2 linked regions of the Caenorhabditis elegans genome follow. The protein of the gene in region 2 purifies or fractionates together with the protein of the main gene of each other region. This does not show direct contact. Each region holds a gene or a part of one and is shown on either strand. Other genes may lie near its edges.

Region 1 (5,641 bases), 4.2 Mb from region 2:
GAAATTCTGATATTCTAGGGGGTACTGTAGCTCCGAAAGTACGCAAACACCGAAATATTGCCAAATTTTCGGTTTTTTCAGTACAAAAATCGAAATTTTTCAGAAAACCAATACAAATATTCCATTTTTCGCATATTTTTAAAGTTCAGAACTCGAAAATTCGAATTTTCAAATTTCCCGGGGGTTACTGTAGCCCCAAAAGTACTACGCAAAATACGATAAAGTTGAATTTTTGCAGTTCAAAACCTGAAAATATTGGAAATTTTTGTTTTTTCGTTTCTAAAATCGATATTTTCCGAAATTATCGATTTTTGAACCGAAAAATCGATAATTTTTGGATTATTTCTCAGTGTTTGCGTACTTTTCCAGCAGCTACAGTAACCCGGGAAATTAAAAAATATGAACTTCTAGGGGGGACTGTACCTTGAAAAGTACGCAAAACCCTGGAAATTCCAAAAATTTTCGTGTTTTTTTCTGTTCAAAAATCGATAATTGCCAAAAATTATCGATTTTTAGTCGAAAAAAAAATCGATTTTCCTGAAAATTAGGGGGGGTACTGTACCTCGAAAAGTACGCAAACACCGAAAAAATCGAAAATTATCGACTTTCCGGTAATAAAATCGATTTTTTCCGAAATTATCGATTTCTTTGCACCAGAAAAATCGATTTTTCACTTAAAAATTACTTTATTCACACATTAAAAATCGGGAAAAAACCCCTAAAAAATTTTTTCCAATAAAAAAAAATCTACTGCTTTCAGTTTTTCTGGTACTTTTTTTGATTTCGGCTGCTGTCTCAGCGTAGTCTCCGGACTACTGGAATCCACCATTTTTCGGCTTATATCCCAATTTTTGAGCAACTCCTGCGTAAACTGGCGATTCGTCGAATGCAACCATTCTCGTAGCGTTTAGATCACGTGGAGCTTTGGATACCTGAAAAAATTGGGATTTTTGGCTGAAAATTGAGGTTTTTAGGGTAAAAATCATAAAAATTCATGATTTTTCAGCCAAAATTAGTGAAAATTGAATTTTTTATAAATTTTATGATAATTCCCGTTAAATTCGCAATTTTTGAGCTAAAAATTTGGATTTTTGGCTGAAAATTGGCGTTTTAAAACAAAAATCATAAAAATTCATGATTTTTTAGCCAAAATTAGTGAAAATTGAATTTTTTATAATTTTATGATAATTCCCGTTAAATTCGCAATTTTTGAGCTAAAATTCTGGATTTTGGTTGAAAAATGACGTTTTTACGTTAAAAATCTGAAAATTTCGTGGTTTTTGAGATAAAATTAGTAAGAAATCGACATTTTTAAGCTGAAAAATCAATTTTTCATGAATTTTATGATATTTTCCGTTAAATTGACAATTTTTGAGCAAAAAAGTGGCTTTTTGGCTGAAAAATGACATTTTTAAGTGAAAAATCTGGAAATTTCATGATTTTTGGGACAAAGTAAGTGAAAATCGATAATTTTGAGCCAAAAACTCAGTTTTTCATGAATTTAATGATTTTCTTGGTAAAATTCACAATTTTTTCAGCTAAAAATTGGCTTTTGGCTGGAAATTGGCATTTTATGCCGTTTTTAGGTCGAAAATGTGGAAATTTCATGATTTTTGAGCAAATGTGAGTGAAAAATCGATTTTTTAAGCCAAAAATTTAGTTTTTCATGAATTTATTGGACTCTTCCGTTAAATTCCATAATTTTTGAGCTAAAAATTGGATTTTGACTGAAATTTTGTGGCAAATCACGATTTTTTTTTTTGAAAAATTGCCATTTTTAGGTCAAAAATCCTGAAATTTCATGATTTTAGTGGCGAATTTTGTGGAAAATTGAATTTTCTTGAAGTTTCATGGGTTTTTTGGCGGAAAATTGATTTTCTGACGAATTTATTTAAAAATTGGATTTTTTTGGTCAAAACAAGCAGAATTTGCATAATTTTGAGCCAAATTTCATTAAAATGGGATTTTTCCAGTTTTTATCTCAAATTTTGCGAGAAATTCGATTTTTAGGTGAAAATCTTCGAAATTTTCCCCATTTTCCCCGTACATCAGCGTGTTTTCCATCGCAAATTGGTCGAGTTCCAGTCTGTTTGCAGTCACACATTGGATAAATTCCAGTTTTTTCAACTTGAAAACTGACGGGGCGAACGTTGGTTAATCCGGGCGTTTTGTGGGTTCCGTCGCAGAATGGCTGCAAAAAATTTTTGGATTTTTCAGGAATTTTCCGGTTTTTTAAGGCATTTTTCAGTGTTAAAATCGTCGTCGAATTTCACACGCCTAGCACCCTTTTTCTGGGTCTCTAGATTTAAATTTGAATTTCGAGGGGTACGGTAGTCCCAAAAGTACGCAAACACCGAGTGCCTTGCGTACTTGGCACCGAACTTTACGACAATTAGTCTAAATTGACTGAAAATCGGGTTAGGGGGGGAAAATGTGATGGAGAACTCGAATTTTGTACTGAAAATGTGTGAAAATGTGTGAAAATCATTGAAAATTTGGGCATAGCTTCCGCATGTCCGAGTGACAAATGTGCTCTATTGCCAAATTGTTGGCAGAAATACGGTATTTATTCACATTTTCAGCCAATTTAAGACTGAAAATGTGAATAAACACAGTATTTATGCCAGAAATCTGAGAAACGCACAAGTCACAGGGGAATTATCGATTTTTAGAAGATTTTTCGTTTTCAGATTGGTGGCCTAGAAATCCCAAAAGTTAGGCCGCCAATCTATTTTGAGCGAAAAAACCAATTTCTAGGGGTAAAAATGAGTGAAAAACTTAATTTTTAACTGAAAATTTGGGCAAAATCACTAGAAATGTGATTAAAAATATTTAAACGCGAAAAATGACCGGAATTCTAATTTTAGGGCAAAATTCGTTAATTATAGCTGCAATAACCAAATTTTTGAGCAGAAAATCGCAAAAAATCTTTATTTCCAGCGTTTTTCGTAACAAAAATAGACCGTCTGAGCTTTTTCCGGGAAAATTAGGGTAATTTTCGAAAAATGTTGGATTTTTCTAGAATATTGATTAAAATTTGAGCAAAAATGAGCTTTTTTTGTAATTTTTTCACTAGCATTCACGTTTAACAAAATTTTGGGTTTCATCACGACTTTAAAGGCACATAGGCGCCATTTTAAGCCTAAAATAGCTAAATTTTATCAATTTTCCGCGATTTTTTCGGCATTTTAGCTGTTTTTCGACGATTTCCATGAGAAAATGCTCGAAAATAAGCACCTGAGTGATGCTCAACCCGCATGAGCACCAATGATACGTTTTTCCGGCTTCAAGCTTCACACGATTCGACTTTGTGCCTGCTGGCTGCCCTTTGTACGGCAAAACGTCTGCAGAATAGCTTTGAACAACGACGCCACGTGCTTTTCCACGAATCGATGATTGCTGGAAATTTTGAAATTTTTTTCAGTGATTTTTCGCGGAAATTGGTGAAAATCTGGCAAAAATCGGGATTTTTTCGCAGAAAAAAAAATTTCAGCGATTTTGATTGATTTTCCACGACTTTTCCAGCTTTTTCAGTCGAAATTGACAATTTTCCACTAATAACTCACAATCGGCGCGGCTGCCTGAAGCTTTTGGCACGTTCTTCCGAGCATGGCTCAATTCGACCTGAAAATCGAGGTTTTTGAGGTGAAAAATAGGTTTTTAATGGATTTTCGCATACAAATTCATGATTTTTCAATATTTTAAGCGAAAAAATCGTGAAAAACCACGGATTTTCAGAGGAAAATCACTAAAAATGGCTGAAAACAAATTTGCCCGTGGAGCGAGCAAGCGCGCTCCAGTGAGAAACAGTTGGGATTTCTAGGCCGCGGCCACGGGAATTTATATAATTTTTTTCATTTTCCGGCGTTTTTACATGATTTTCCTCGAATTTCTCGCATTTTTCGATATTCCAGGCAATGAAACTCAATTCCAACGTGAAAATCGTCGCAAAAAAGTGCATTTTAGTGCCGTACGAGCCGTGCCACGTTGCAAAATACCACAAATGGATGGAAAACGAGGAGATTCGCCGACTCACCGGCTCTGAACAATTGTCGTTGGATGAGGAATATGAAATGCAGAAAACTTGGCGAAATGATGAGGATAAACTAACGTTTATCGTTCTTGAAATGAATGAAAGTGGAGAAGAAGTAGGGATTTTTCAGGAAAACCCCGTTTTTTTCAAGTTTTTGCCTCCAAAAATTTGAAATTCACGGGCTCAGAACCGTTTTGAATTAAAAATAGACCAAAAAATTGGGAAAATAGCATTATAACCACTCGAAAATCGACTTTTCCGCCAAAAACTACGACACTCCTAGTACGCCACAGCGCGTGTTGTTTAGCGCTGGTCACCCGCGAATTCAAATTTTTGACTTAAAATTGGGGTTTTTTACACTTTTTTGCCGATTTCAATGTGAAAAATCACTAAAAATTCTGTTTTTATCAAAAATTTTTGCATTTTCGAAAAGAAAAGTGTGTTTTTTTCCGATTTTTTTTTTGGAAATTTTCCGAAATTTCAGGTAGATCACATGCTTGGCGATGTGAATTTGTTCATTTCCACGTCACCGTCCACTGAAAACCCTAGCGATGACGTCATCACTGGTGAGGTAGAGGTTATGATAGCGGAGCCACGTGGCAGAGGAAAAGGCATTGGAGAGGAGGCTGTGAGGGTTATTATTGCGTGGGCGTATGAGGTAAAATACTTTTTTTCTTCTAAAAAAAAGTTTTTGTTGGATGTAAAAGTTGAAAAAAAAATTTTGAAAAAAAATTCTGAAACAATTTTTTTTTTCAGAATTTTTTTTGTCAAATTTCTCCTAACTAATTTCTTTTATAAAAATTCGAGTTCTCCTCACTCCCAGCTTCAAAATGACCCCCCATCACGCACTGGTTCCGCGTAGTTTGAAAATTTTAGGTCTCGCCACGCGGGTTACTGTAGCACCGATATCAGCTGTGTCGGTGGGAAAAATGCGCGGAACATAGGCTTGTAGGGGTCAATTTAAAGCTGGTGACGTGGAGAATATGAATTTTAACATGATTTTTGACAGTTTTGAAAATTAAAAAAATTTTAGTTCGAAAAAAAATTGAATTTTTTTTTGTTTTTCAGAAAAATTTTATTCTTCAAAATTTCTCGATTTTGAGCTGAAATTCGAGTTCTCCACACTTTCAGCGTCAAAATGACCCCCATCATGTCCTGGTTCCGCGCAATTTGAAAATTTTGGGTCTCGCCACGCGGGTTACTGTAGCACCGATATCAGCTGTGTCGGTTGTCAAATTGAACGGAATATGGTCGTGTTGGGGGTCATTTTGAAGCTGAAAATGAGGAGAATAAGAATTTTGACATGGTTTTTGACAGTTTTGAAAAATGAGCAAAAAAAATATTTTTTTCGAAAATTTTCAATTTTTCAGAATCTGAAAATCGAGCAATTCTGCGTAAAAATTACCGATGACAACACACCAAGCCTGAGCCTATTCAAGAAGAAACTAGGATTCAAACAAATCGGCTATAGCACTGCTTTCAAGGAATTCACATTTGAATTGCCGAAAAATCGATTGATTTCTGAATTTTCGAGTTTTTTGGAGAAAAATGCAGAAATTAAGGAGTATAAATAATTATTTGTGTACTTTTACATTGAAAATAAATGTT
Region 2 (5,093 bases):
ATTCGCATTTGAACTCCCTTAATGAAATTTTGTAAATAACCAAATTAATAAAATTATAAAACTCACTGAAACGGCATGACATGGATTTGTGGAATTCGTGCACGTTTCCAATAAAATTTCGAATTCATAGTGTTTCGAACAATTGGCAAAAATTGATGTGGTATAATGATTTTGAGTCATTTTTTGGAAATTGAATGTCATTGACACAAAATGGACATAAAAATGATAGGGAAAAGGTTGTTTGTTTAAGGAATTACCTTAATGCTTCATTCAAAATTTAGGTATCATCTTCAGTTATGATGACACTTTTTATGATGATTAAGATAAAGCAGGGATGAGCTTTGATTGCATAAATCTTATCTGTAACTAATTTTTAAAGATTTTTCAGGTTCTGCCACAAATCTATTTATGTAAACAAATTATTAGGAACTTTCCAAAAGAATAATTTTGTAATTAGCAGTTTTTGAGTAGACTTTGATTGTTCTGTTCATCAAATAATTATTCTAGATTTTTATATTTTTATAACTTAAGTTTTTAGAATGTTTTCAGAAGTTTGAAAATGTTAGATGTTTGAATCCTTGAGAATTATTTTTAAAAATCTTTAATTTGTTACACTGAAATTTTTTTTTTTGAAGTTTTTCCAAATCAATATCATTTTATCTCAGATTTTCTTTCCGAATTAGATTTTATTCAGTTAACAAAAACAAAATAAGAACTTGGTCTTAAAACGACATAACTTACAGATACAAAATAAATATTTAAAAAATTATGCAAATGAAAATTACTCGTGAGGTGAGATATTGACTGCAGGTTTCATTATTCAGGCAGGGTATACTATAGATAGGAATCTGTTTCCACACAAAACTGAGAAGATGGAGGTAACAGTAATCATTCAATTTGAGATTGATCTTTAATGATTTTATCATTTCTTGATAATGAAGAAGATGAAGCACAAAAGACTTTTGATCTCAGAAATTTCATCTGAAATTAATTTTTAAAATTAGATTCTTCAGTTTTGCCACAAAATCTCTGACTACTGTGTTTTTGATGATTATGTTCTCAATAACTAGCTGTTGTAGATTTCTATCGTTTTCCACAAAAAAAAATAGAAAACATACTTACCTGAGAACTGAAAACTTTCGAAATGCGTTTGTCAAAGGAAAAGTTTATAATTGGGTCCAGTAGAAATGTTATTGATCTGAAATTGATTTTTCAATTTTAAGAAAATACAAGTCACTAGTGATCCAGATGGGCCATTTATTTTAAAAGGACATGGTGCAGAGAAAAAAATGTTATCGAACCCTAAAAATGTCTCCAATGATGATACGATAGCTGGGAAAATTAAACTATTTGCATTGTAGAAATCGTAACAGTCATCTGATATTGATTCAGCTGAAAAAAAAACAATAAATGGGAGCAACATCTACCGTAATTGGCAGTGAAATTTGAAACTACCGTATTTCTTTTATTAGTTTTGCAATGGAATATTTTACTTTGGCTCTTTTCTTTCAATCTTTTATAAAAATGTTATTTTGTTCGTCTCCAATCTTTTCACGTCACTTACATTTTCCAAACGCTGCAAGTAACCCAGTTGGTATTAACTCAACGCAACATAAAATGACCAAAATAGTAGTTGTCCATGTTAGTCGGCTTTTTCCATGATTGAATGCAGAAGATGACACGTTTCCCATTTTCTTGGATTTATAACTGTGCCAGTGGAGAGATACTGTGACAAAGAGCAATGTGCCGGTGCATCCCATAAGGATGAGACATGCTATGCAAACTGAAATAAAATAATGAAAAAGACGTGCCTACTACATTTATGCCTATCGCATATTTCTCGGCTAGAAATGGGTAGCTTTCCATATTTCTCCCACAAGGTAGGCAGGCAGCCCCCCACTAAAACTTACACAACAACCATTTAACGATAAGTTCACAACTTTCACTATCACATTTTATAGGGCCGTCTATTTCGTCGGCTGCTTGAAATAAGCCAAATGGAATCTAAAATTTTTATACCAAAAATATAGTCATTAAACTTTTTCTTACCGCAACACAAACCGAAAATAAAACTATCGCGAATGCAATGATGTATATCGTTTTAAGAGTAAACTTGTCACGATAAACCAGTGGACGCATCACTCCGAAATATGTCATCATGGCGACACCGGTGAAGGAACCTGGAATCAACTGAAACTTGCGGTACAACTAGGCTTCCATGGAGGCACGAGGCAGGCGAAGGTTGATTTGAAGGCGTCTTGGAATTCTTAAGCTCCGGCTTACCTAACAAACTCAAAATACTAAAGTCGTAGATAATAAATAATACTGCAAAAAATGCAAATGTATCCCGAAATGGAATATCGATAAAGTAAGTTGACTGAATTATTATTATACATAGAGCAATGAGAATTGCAGCTGACAATCTTACAACTACAAATATGTATTGTTTGCGGGATCTGAAGTTTATTTGGAATTAATTTTGAAATTAGACAAAAATAGCGAGAGAAGATATATCGTTTGTTTCAGATGATTTCAAAATTTACAAACTGATAAGTTACGTAAAACATTTTCATCTGCATACTGTTAGCTAATAATTTATTATTAGGCCAATTGAAGCCAACAAAGTTTGAATATTTTAAACTCACTGCTTTTTGAGACTTTTCAGTATTGAAATTGTAACTAAAAGACAATAAGTATCAACAAGTACAGCCAAAAAACACATGGCAGAAGGTATATAAAATCCCATCCAAATCATAAGTGAGTGAGCAGTATTCATTTTCTGGAATTATTATTATCAAATAGTCTAATTCTAAAGTGCACCAGTTTTGACGCGCAGATTTTTCAATTTAGAATTTTTTAGAAAGTTTTAATTGTATTCCTCTTGGACAACCTAACAAACCTGCAGCAATTGACATGGATTCGATGCATTGACACATTTTTGTAGGTTCTTTTCAAATGAATAGTGGGTAGAGCAATTTTCAAAAATATTTGTCATTTGAAACAAAAATCGATATAATGCTATAAACCATTTTCCAAGTGTTAACTGATAAGAATTGATGATTCAATTCTATGAGGCGATAAGAGATCAAAATTTTGTCGGAGGGGGGTTTCTGCACAATTTCGAGCGGAGGTAAGTAATCTGTGAGACGTCACAATTTGTAGAGCACATTTGAAAGAGATAAACTCACTTGTAACTTGACCATTTTTGAAATATTTTTGTCGAAAAAAATATTAATTAAAGGATCCGTCAAGAAGACAAGGGATCTGCAAAAATTCAGAAGTTTGTTTTAAATTTGTATAAAATTTGTACCCTACGAGGGTTTCCACAGATGATATTATTGACTGAACAAGTAGTTCGTTGGCATTGTAAAAACTATCACATCCTTGGAGACTACCTAAAATTGAACTTTCATGCGAAAAGCATGTACACATTTTTTTCTCCCAATTCCGACGCTATTTCTAGGCAACCTCTAACGTACTTACTTTTATCATTGCCAATAACTAATCCAAAGGGAAGCAACTCAATGAGACAAATGACAATCAAAGCGAAAAATGTCCAAGTGAGACGAATACGGGCACGTGTAGTCACTTTAGGGACATCGACACCGTTCTAAATACATATTTCAGCAGCCGACGCTTTACGGGGTTTTAAAGAAAACCCGCGAACTGTCCGCTGCTTCCTCACCGTTTTTGATTTATAGTTATACCAGTGCAACGAGATCACAGCGAATCCTGTTAGAGATGCAGTTATTGCAAGTGAGATACATGCTATAGAAACTGAAATTAAATTTTTTGCTAGGCTGTAGCGTGTGTAAGGTGAACGGTTTTCCAATCGTGGAAGAGTTTTGAAAATTTCCAGGTCACGCAAAAGACTGGGGGTTACTGTGACACAAGAAGTGCAATGCAACAAAGATGCAAATTTACTTACAAGTAATCCATTCCACCACCTTCCCACAATAACTTAAATCACACTTTATAGGCCCTTGAGAGTTACTCGCAGCTTCGTAGAGGCCTAGAGGGATCTGCAAGGTTTCAATTTTTGTTCCATGAAATTCCTTTTTGTCAGCTTGCCGCTATTGCTAAAGAAAATGTCCACATTGAAATGAGTATAATGTAGAGAGATCTTAATGACACATGGCGTCGATAGAAATTGTAGTGAACTACACCAAAATAGGTGATCAGGGAGATCATTATGTAGGAGACTGAAACATTTTAAACCTCGAGGCTGCAAACACGCTATATTGGTAAGTTTGTTTTTACGAAAAATTGAAAATGGAGTGTTTTTCAATAGGCTAAAAATTTTTAAACTATAAAAATTTATGACTCGGCCGTGGGCTAACTTTTCCCCATATGATTTCTCTTTCATCAATCAAGAACTTACAGAACAAGGTGTCCATACTGAAATCGTAAATTGAAAATGCAACAGCATAATATGCAAATGTCGGAGACAAACTCTCCGAGAATAGTGTGCTTTCTAGCACCAAAAGGGATATTATGACAAGTATTGAGGAGAGAAATCTGCTGAGTACAAATACATAATGCTTTCGGGTTCTGGAAATCTTAGATTTCGTTTTTTTCCTAAAATCTACATTTTCATGAAAATTCGCATTGTCTGGCTCGCCTTAAAGACAGGCTGGCAGGCGTTCATGCCTACGTAGCAGACTTACTCACTCGTTATCAAGAAAATAATATGTGTAGAGTGCAATAAACAAGCAATAAAAATTTAAAATCCCCGAAATCACAAAAATAGTTGTAGAAATATAGACATCAAGCCAATGAAATACATCGATTGATGATGCTACGTTCTGGAAATTATAGAATTGTAAAAGCGCAAAGTTTGAAATTTTAACAGAGCGTGCTTACTTACCCTTATAAGACCGCACTGATTTGTAGTATTTGTGCAATTTTCATATATGTACTCGAATGAATATCTATGGGTACAATTTTCGAATAAGTTGCCCATAAATCTTCAATCGATAAAACTGGACAAAACCTTTTTTGCTGGAGTTTTTAATCATCACTGATAACAGACACTCGTCGTCTTCGTGACATTCTTGATTGCATCATTGAGTACTACAATATTTTGTAAGTTT

The links.
Region 1: the proteins of B0244.10 (region 2) and cisd-3.2 fractionate together in Caenorhabditis elegans (co-fractionation; one large-scale study listed by BioGRID). This does not show direct contact.

The regions. Positions count from the first base shown.
Region 1 is NC_003281.10:1,538,476-1,544,116, reverse strand, and holds cisd-3.2 (Iron-binding zinc finger CDGSH type domain-containing protein), read right to left. Parts: upstream 3,625-5,641; 5' UTR 3,612-3,624; coding exon 3,567-3,611; intron 3,400-3,566; coding exon 3,238-3,399; intron 2,192-3,237; coding exon 2,048-2,191; intron 933-2,047; coding exon 813-932; 3' UTR 669-812; downstream 1-668. Other genes in the region: Y67D2.5 (N-acetyltransferase 9-like protein), read left to right, coding at 3,918-4,148, 4,518-4,691, 5,404-5,607.
Region 2 is NC_003281.10:5,733,095-5,738,187, reverse strand, and holds B0244.10 (Putative G-protein coupled receptor B0244.10), read right to left. Parts: upstream 3,024-5,093; 5' UTR 2,996-3,023; coding exon 2,900-2,995; intron 2,780-2,899; coding exon 2,646-2,779; intron 2,457-2,645; coding exon 2,284-2,456; intron 2,181-2,283; coding exon 2,050-2,180; intron 2,005-2,049; coding exon 1,911-2,004; intron 1,784-1,910; coding exon 1,565-1,783; intron 1,393-1,564; coding exon 1,302-1,392; intron 1,199-1,301; coding exon 1,123-1,198; intron 982-1,122; coding exon 889-981; 3' UTR 667-888; downstream 1-666. Other genes in the region: Putative G-protein coupled receptor-like protein B0244.6, read right to left, coding at 67-180; B0244.17 (G-protein coupled receptors family 1 profile domain-containing protein), read right to left, coding at 3,086-3,139, 3,189-3,264, 3,311-3,395, 3,484-3,610, 3,686-3,777, 3,929-4,022, 4,072-4,202, 4,382-4,551 and 2 more; Putative G-protein coupled receptor B0244.7, read right to left, coding at 5,011-5,073.